Macaca mulatta: one gene and its partner. The protein of the gene in region 1 interacts with the protein of each later gene in a pairwise test. Links are inferred from orthologs where the notes say so. Each region holds a gene or a part of one and is shown on either strand. Other genes may lie near its edges.

Region 1 (3,805 bases):
TTGGTTTAGCTGCTTCTGACTTGAATAGTTCCTCTTGAATAGATCCAAACCCTAAGTGTAAATATTTCTGTCCACACAAATAGACACACATATATTCCTGCTGCAGGCTGTCATGCTCACCAAAATGCTTCCACCTGGTTTGGGTGTGCAAGGCACTGTGCATCCACAGCCATCTACGGCCATCCACCCATCCATCCAACCTTCCATCCATCCGCAACAAGACAGCAGCAAGTTCTGACCAGTCAGGCCCCAGGGTTCACAGCAGTAGGGGCTGGGCTTCCAGCAGGCTCACGATTCAGGCCTTAGCCCTTGCCCTGGGAGCCCCCAAGGATAATAACATCCCTTTCTGGGGCAACAAAACTGGGACTGAGTGGGTAACTGATATTTGACAGGGGAACCTAAACAGTCTACGGAAATGTCCTGAGATGGGTATAAAGTCAAACAGACCAAGCACACAGGTAACACTGAAATAGGAAAGAGTAAGAGCTTCTGTTCAGGCTGGAGGTGCTTGTATGGTGGGACAGGAAAGAGGAAAAGAGAAAGGGGCAACATGGCAGACATACCACGGTTCCTACAGAGGTTAGGGGCAGTCCTGGCCCGGGAAGTACACAGGGCAGAGAGCTGACTCCCAGGCCAGGAAGGAGGTTAGCTCTGACCCATCCTCAGGGACCATAGCTCTCCCCCAGCCTCCGCTGACACACACACAAAGGAGCTTTTCAGGACACAGGAAGATGAGGGGTTAACCCTAACAAGGAAACAAGAAGCTCCTTGAGGACACAAAATACTGCCTTTAGGCTGGTATTAACCCAACTTAACTAACTCAACAGACTGGGCTCTTCCAGGGGTGGGGGGCACCAGGATATGGAAAATGATGGGATGACACAAGGGAATCGGGGCTGGGGCAGACAGGCAGGACACCCACACCATCCTTCCCATGGACAGCACCTGAGGCCTCCAGCAGGCCCTCAGCCTGGCAGGCCCATAGGGCAGCTGGCTTCAGGCCTGGAAAGGCAAGGGAGGTAGCAGGACTGATGCAGGCCCTCACTGGTCCTGCAGCCGGCTACAGAGCTCCCGCCGGCTCCGCTCCCCAGCCCAGCTGCGAGTCTTGAGGCGGAAGGTCTTCAGCTCATCCTTGAAGGCCTCATGGTTCATGGGCCGGTAGTCCTGGGGTTCACAGAAGTTCTAGGGCAGGATAGGAGGGTTCAATGCAGTGGAATGGGTAAGTTTGACAGGGACCCAATCCTCCCACCCCCCTCCCATGGCTCCAGCCTGGCCAAGCCAACCCTCACAGATTGTGGCCTTCCCCACCCACGCTACCGGGTGCTGAGGGAAGAACTCCTTGTAGCCGCCTTTCAAGATATACATCTCGGGGTAGTAGAGGCTGGGGTAGTCGTTAACAGCACGGTCTCGTTCCCTGATGAAACGGCACCTGGGGCGTCATGGGCAAGGTGTGGTCAGAATGGGACATGCAGTGGCTTGTACATCATGGGACCTATTCCCCACGTCCCCTCCTTTGAGGGCCTTGGGGAGCCACAGAAGGCTTTGAGCACAGGAATGTAACCAAAAGAACACTTTTTAGATTAGTCTGGCTACAGAAGAGGGTGGGGAGGTAGAACGAAGAAGGTAAAATCAAGGGGATGAGCTCTCTGTTTCTAGAAAGCAGTTGCACCATCTTTGTTAGAGATATCTGTGCCTGGACCAGGAAAGGAGAAGCAGGAGAGGAGACAAGTGGGCCAAATTCAAGGGACCCATTCGGGCCACTCCTGGACAAGACCCAGTGAGGATCAGCGGTGGGAAGAAGGGAGGAGGAGGACCCAAGACTGAAGCCAGTGCCCAGGCCTGGTGCCCGGGTGGAGGTGGGTGCCACATGCTGGGATGCCTGGAGAAGATGGGAGGGCCACAGGGATGTGACTCTGTAAGGGGCATCTGGGTACAGATTCCCACCACATGGGTGAGGCCAGACTGGGGAGTCACTAGCAGTCTGATGGACCAGTGGCAACCCAGAAGGAGGCAGGGGTGGGAGGACAGATGGCCAGGCAGAACAGGAATAGGGACAGAAGGAGCTTAGCCAGGGAGGGCCCAGGTGCTGTGGATGCCAGTGGAGGAGGTTCCAATGGAGACCTAACAGCACTGAACATGGGGAGGGTCAGTGTCACTGGGGACTGACATGGGGCCCTTAGATTTCGAGAAAGACACTGCTAGAGACTTGGAACTAGATTTTCTGAGGGTGGCAGCAATGGATGGGGGGTGGACATGAGGTTTGATAGGCAGGACAGTGAGGGAGATGGGAGGTGGGTACCATGCGCAGTGAAGCGGGGCTGAGGTCAGCTCTAGGCCATCAGATGGGACAGAGTAGAACCCGGATTTGCACCCATGGCCATCGCAATGGTGCCAGCACCTGCGAGCCTGGGCAGGGAAGGCCGGGGCAGACACTAGCTGGCTGGGCGGAGCTGGGACTCACATGCGGGGCCCACGCTCAGATGAGAATTCACAGTGGAAAATGAGGATGACTCTCTTGTCCAGGCTACAGGGTGTGATGGGGCTCTGCAGCAGGAAGCTCTCGGCGTCGCGTTCCAGGGGCAAGTTCACCGCAGTCTGTCAGAGGAGCCAGAGGTCAGGCACAGCCCTGGGCCCAGGAGGCAGGCCCCTCCCCCTGCAGTCCCTGTCCTTCTCTTGGTAGGAACCCTCCCCACAAGAGGGGGCACCCGTCCTCCACCCATTCTTGCTCTTGGCAGAGCAAGGACCTAAACCAGGTGGGATCTTCAGGGCCTCTGCCCATTGCCCCACCTTACCTTGATGTGCCCGCCTTCATACTCATAGGGGTATCTGCAGTCCACAATCACAAACTTATCCACGATGTTGCTGAACTTGCCCATCAACAGAGCCACCATCTGTAGGAGGTCATGGGGGTTGGTTCCAGAAGGTCAGGCTGGCAGCCAGCAGGTGGCCCTAGCCTGTCCTCTGGCATAGCCCATACAGCCTGTCCCCAGGGAAGGTCAACAACGGAGCTACAGTCCCAAATATGCCTAGAAAATGGCGCAACGCTGTTTACCGTTTCTGGTGAGATGTACTTGAGGTCTTGGTGCTTTCCATCTACCGTCTGTAGGAGGAAGGCCTGAACGGAAGGGAAGAGATGCGGGAGAGAGGAAAAAGTTAAACTGGTAAGACCAGGAGCCTGGAAAGAATGAAGTTTCATTCCCAAACTCAGAGGCCACACCTGCTTTGGCCTTCAAATTCAGCTCTGGGTCCCATAGCAACTGAGAGGGCCTCTTGGGTCTGACACCCAGGGAACAACCTTCCAAGGGGAAAGGGAAATGAAAAAGGGAAGTGGAAGAGATGAACTCCACACTCTGCTCCCTACCCTCTGCCAAGCCCGAACGTGAGGCATGACGGGGTTCCAAGCTAGGTATGAGCTTGGAAATAAGATGGAGACACAACAGATGCCTGGACTGACTTGAGGTGGAGTCAGGAGACAAGGAGGGCCAGAGGGAGGAGTCTATATGAGAACAAAGGATGAAAAGATACAAAGGACAAAGAAAAGGGGAGCTCTGGGGAAAGGGAGAAACCCAAGCAGCTCCTAGGCTAGAGGACCCTTAGTCAGTAAGAGGTCAAGCCCCCAAAGGGCCCTTTGCTGCTGCAGGTACCTTAGAGTAATCTCCAATCAGCTGTCGGTGGTCACTGTCCAGGAGGTTCTCAATCTCATCGTGACACAGTGATTTTGAGCGGAGGACGCGGACTTTCTAGAAAGTGAGTCAGGTGGAGGCCAGGGTCAGGGTGGGGCTGCCCCTCAATGCCCTGTCTAGCT
Region 2 (4,550 bases), on another chromosome or scaffold:
GGGACATTCCAGACCCTCTCACCACCTCACCCCCTCCCCTTGCTCCTGTCACGAGGCCCAATCCCCCAGAGCCCTTTCATGTGATGCTCAGCTGAGACCCCTCTGCCTATCTCTCCCAGCCCCAGAACAAAAGGTCTGGGCTGTGTTCACCCGTACCCATCCCAAGGGGAGAGGATTGTATCTCCTTAGTCTTCTTACCCAATACTACATTCTCTGACTCCCCACTTTAAATCTCCTACCCCAAGAGACATTTCTTAAAAGAGTCTCCCGCACATTTCACCCCTTTGGAGCCCCTGCTCCAGCTCACTGCCAAGGAAGCCTCAGAATCAGTGCCACAGAGACCTTCTATTCTTCTGCCCCTCCAAGCATATGAGATTATTTTCAGGCTCAATCCCAAATCTCCATGTAGGGAGGGAGCCCAGGTGCCCACATTCTCACTAAATCAAATGAGTGGGAGACGCCTGAAATATTGCCGCTATCTCCCATTAGGAGGAGAGAAACCAGAGCAGGGGGAATTCATCCCCAAGTTCACACCTGCTTATGTCCACATATCCACACATACCTTTTGTAGCCCCCACAGCCAGCAAAGCACCTATCACAGCCAAATGAAGAAGCCATCTTTTTAGCACCAGATCCATTGTGTTCTTCCCTCCAGCAACCAAAGGCACTGGGGGGACTGGGATAGGCCCCTATATAAGAAAAGGGTGCTCATTTGCATAGCCCTTCCTCTTCTCCCTCAGAGAAGGCCTGGGAGGGGCCAGAGAAGAGGAAGAAGGAAAAACTGACAAAGGGATCCTGGTCCCTAGACATTGCTTTCCCATCCTGCTACTCAATGGCAGTTTCTGGTTTCACTGGGTCACTCTCATATACTCCCGGGCAAGGGCTGACTGAAAGGCAGCTGCATAACACATACCAGACACAACAGTTCATCATGGGAGAGTGAATTAAACCAGGAACTTCTCAAAAAAACAGAAACAGAAGCCTGCATCCCAAAACACAGACAGCGTCGGGGTAGGCTATGAGGCAGAGGCAATGACTCCTCTGAGGCCCAGGAATTCTTTACAACGAGATTCCTAGTTTCCTGCTTTTCAAAGGAGGCTCCTGGGCCAGGTGGAATTTAACCTTAGGTCGATACATATTTTCCCCAGGAGTGGTGAAAATAGTGAGTTAGAAATCAAGAAATCCCTACAGACTAGAGACACAGGTAGGAAACTTGGACCCAAAGTAGGTACTTGGGAAGACTGTTCAGCCGCCCCACCGAGAAAGAAATTTGTCTAGCCCCCGAAGAACCAAACTTGCCTGGGGCGGGGTCATTTGCGGGGAGGAGCGCTGCACTCGCCCCCCGGCTCTGACGTTGACCAATAGAAATGCCTGGGGGCGGAGCCAGGGAAACGCGGGAAGCAGGGGCGGGGCTTCTGGTGGCGGTCGGGAACTCGGGGGGAGGCGGCAACATTGTTTCAAGTTGGCCAAATTGACAAGAGCGAGAGGTATACTGCGTTCCATCCCGACCCGGGGGCACGATACTGGGCCCTGTTTCCCCCTCCTCGGCCCCCGAGAGCCAGGGTCCGCCTTCTGCAGGGTTCCCAGGCCCCCACTCCAGGGCCGGGCTGACCCGACTCGCTGGCGCTTCATGGAGAACTTCCAAAAGGTGGAAAAGATCGGAGAGGGCACGTACGGAGTTGTGTACAAAGCCAGAAACAAGTTGACGGGAGAAGTGGTGGCGCTTAAGAAAATCCGCCTGGACACGTGAGTGGCCTCTGTACCCGGGACTCCTAACTGGGGACCTCCTTGACTGTCCCCCCCCAATCCCCCACGGGCGGGTAGCCGTCCAGGGACCGGAAGACAACAGGGACGGACTTCTTTAGAAGTGGAGAGGTGGGTTGGGGGCCAGTAGAAGGTGGAGTGTATACTTATACTCCCTGGGGAGAGTATAGGATGGTGTGGAATCCATGGAAAACTTTCTTCCCAAACTGAGCCGGATCGTGCCCCCAAATGTGCGAACACAGAGACTCGGGGAGAGAAAGGAGGCCTCTGAGATGAGGTCCAAGACTCTCCATGGAGTGGAGTTATGTGGGAACCGGCGAGGAGCGCCTTTCTGAATGAAGAGCTCTCCTCACTGCCCCACCCTCACCTTAGAATTCTCTCCTCTTTCCAAAGAATGGCAGTTGAACCTCACTGGCCCCTCTGGAGAGACTGGGGACTACTCCTGCTTTTTTTTTTTTTTTTTCCCCATTACAGCCTCCCTGCTTTACCTTCACCAGACGGCTTTACTTACCTACCCCTGGGAAAAGACAAGATAATGACCTTAATATGTGCAAAAGCCACACCCTGACTACCCAAGAATTAGCTCTTTCCAGCACCCTTTCTTTTCTCTGACTTTCCTAGGGGGTGCTGGGTGGTGTCTCCTTGGGGGAAAGAAATGACTAGGTGGGGGAAAAAGGAATATTTGTAACCATATTCCCGTCTCTGCTTTCCCAACCTCTCCAAGTGAGACTGAGGGTGTGCCCAGTACTGCCATCCGAGAGATCTCTCTGCTTAAGGAGCTTAACCATCCTAATATTGTCAAGTGAGTATGTGTCTGAGAGGCAATCCAGCTGGAAAGGAGGATGAGTTGTCTGTACAGTGTGGGCTTTTCTCTCTCTCGCACCTCCATTTCCTCAAACTTTACTTCTCTAGGCTGCTGGATGTCATTCACACAGAAAATAAACTCTACCTGGTTTTTGAATTTCTGCACCAAGATCTCAAGAAATTCATGGATGCCTCTGCTCTCACTGGCATTCCTCTTCCCCTCATCAAGGTAATGCTTCTCATCAGCTCCTCCCATCATGGGCATGTCTTGGGGTACTGGTGGCAGGCAATTCAGGGTGATATTTTATGATCTTGGCCTCCTTCTGAGCCCTCATCTCCTACACACACACACTCCCCTTCTTTTTGTGTCTCCTTCCCTGCTCATTATATTCATTAACCCTAGGGTTGGACTGAACAATCAAAGTTGAAACTCTAGTGAGTCAACCTAGCAACTCAGGTGGGAGGTCAGATGAAACTCAGATAAATGGGATTTGAGAGCACTTGGTAAATTCCTCCAAAAAGCCCTTCTGTTTGGTGGAAGAACCAGCTAGTAAGTCTCTATTGTCTATTTTAGGGCTGGATTCTTCACTCCCAGAGCTACTTTATTAACAAACATTTGTTCAATGCACAGCATGTAGAAAAGGGAAGCAAAATTGAGTAAGACTTGGTCCTTATCCTCTCTGGGCTGACAGTCCATTGGGAGAAATAGCTTGTAAATATGTAACTATAATCCAACATAGTAAAGGCTTTAGTAGAGTTTTGGGGTCACAGAGCAAACCCAGTCTGCTCACTGTGATGGAGAAACACAGTCCTCTCTTTCTTCTTTGTCAGAGCTATCTGTTCCAGCTGCTCCAGGGCCTAGCTTTCTGCCATTCTCATCGGGTCCTCCACCGAGACCTTAAGCCTCAGAATCTGCTTATTAACACAGAGGGGGCTATCAAGCTAGCAGACTTTGGACTAGCCAGAGCTTTTGGAGTCCCTGTTCGTACTTACACCCATGAGGTGAGTCCCTTTATGCCTTTCTTCTCTGAGCTTCCCAAGAGGTGTTAACTAGGGTATTCACAAATTTACTAAAAATATCTGGCTAACAGTTTCTTACTAGGTAGAAATAATCTCTTGACATCTTCAAGAGTCTTAGGGCATGCATGGAATTCATACTGTGTTGCTAACTGGGCTCACGCCTGTAATACCAGTACTTTGGGAGGCTGAAGTGGGAGGATCACTTGAGCCCAGGAGTTCGAGACCATCATGGGCAACATAGCGAGACCCCATCTCTACAAATCTACAAAAAGAAAAAATTTCGAAATCAAATTATGACCATTTGTCTCAAGTTTTTCCAGGAAGATCTCAAATTGGGGGTTCAGAAAATATGGTCTCCGGAACTATGGACTGGAAATCAGTGAGAGGGGAAAGAGGGAGGGAAGGAAACTGCTTGTTAAGAGGCCATGAGTTAGCAGAGTAGTGTTGGGGAACTGAGATGTGGGAATCTCCATACCCTATAAACCACTCCACCTCTCCCTATTCCTGTCCCTCAGGTGGTGACCCTGTGGTACCGAGCTCCTGAAATCCTCCTGGGCTGCAAATACTACTCCACAGCCGTGGACATCTGGAGCCTGGGCTGCATCTTTGCTGAGATGGTATGGAGGCTTGCCCAAGTTCACCCAGCCCCCTCCTCCCCACATTCAAGAACAACAGAACTGTTTCTTGGCCCAGACCTATGGCCCTTCTATCACAGGGGTCTGTCTCTAAAGTAGCACCAAGGGGAATGGTGGGAAAGGATGCAACTGTTGCCCCAATATCAACCACAATGTTAGGATATCCTCAAACAGCCTTAGTACCTAGTATACTTCTCTTATCCCTGAAATGACATAAAGCATTTCTGCAGCCATTTTAGCTGAGTCTGCATATATTTGGGAGAATGATTCCATTTAGTGCCTCTTTTATTTCAGGCCTTCATTTCAAGGCTTGTAGACCTTATTGTG

The links.
Region 2: the proteins of CDC25B (region 1) and CDK2 interact in a two-hybrid assay, tested with the Homo sapiens proteins (2 studies listed by BioGRID and IntAct). The link is inferred for Macaca mulatta from reciprocal best matches to the Homo sapiens genes CDC25B and CDK2.

What each region holds. Positions count from the first base shown.
Region 1 is NC_133415.1:80,263,947-80,267,751, forward strand, and holds part of CDC25B (M-phase inducer phosphatase 2), read right to left. Parts: intron 3,741-3,805; coding exon 3,645-3,740; intron 3,116-3,644; coding exon 3,053-3,115; intron 2,892-3,052; coding exon 2,793-2,891; intron 2,596-2,792; coding exon 2,462-2,595; intron 1,430-2,461; coding exon 1,318-1,429; intron 1,183-1,317; coding exon 1,042-1,182; 3' UTR 1-1,041. UniProt on the Homo sapiens protein: Tyrosine protein phosphatase which functions as a dosage-dependent inducer of mitotic progression. Directly dephosphorylates CDK1 and stimulates its kinase activity.
Region 2 is NC_133416.1:63,110,617-63,115,166, forward strand, and holds the start of CDK2 (cyclin-dependent kinase 2), read left to right. Parts: upstream 1-1,630; coding exon 1,631-1,746; intron 1,747-2,488; coding exon 2,489-2,566; intron 2,567-2,676; coding exon 2,677-2,797; intron 2,798-3,399; coding exon 3,400-3,570; intron 3,571-4,103; coding exon 4,104-4,205; intron 4,206-4,550. Other genes in the region: melanocyte protein PMEL, read right to left, coding at 563-689, 1,300-1,632. UniProt on the Homo sapiens protein: Serine/threonine-protein kinase involved in the control of the cell cycle; essential for meiosis, but dispensable for mitosis. Phosphorylates CABLES1, CTNNB1, CDK2AP2, ERCC6, NBN, USP37, p53/TP53, NPM1, CDK7, RB1, BRCA2, MYC, NPAT, EZH2.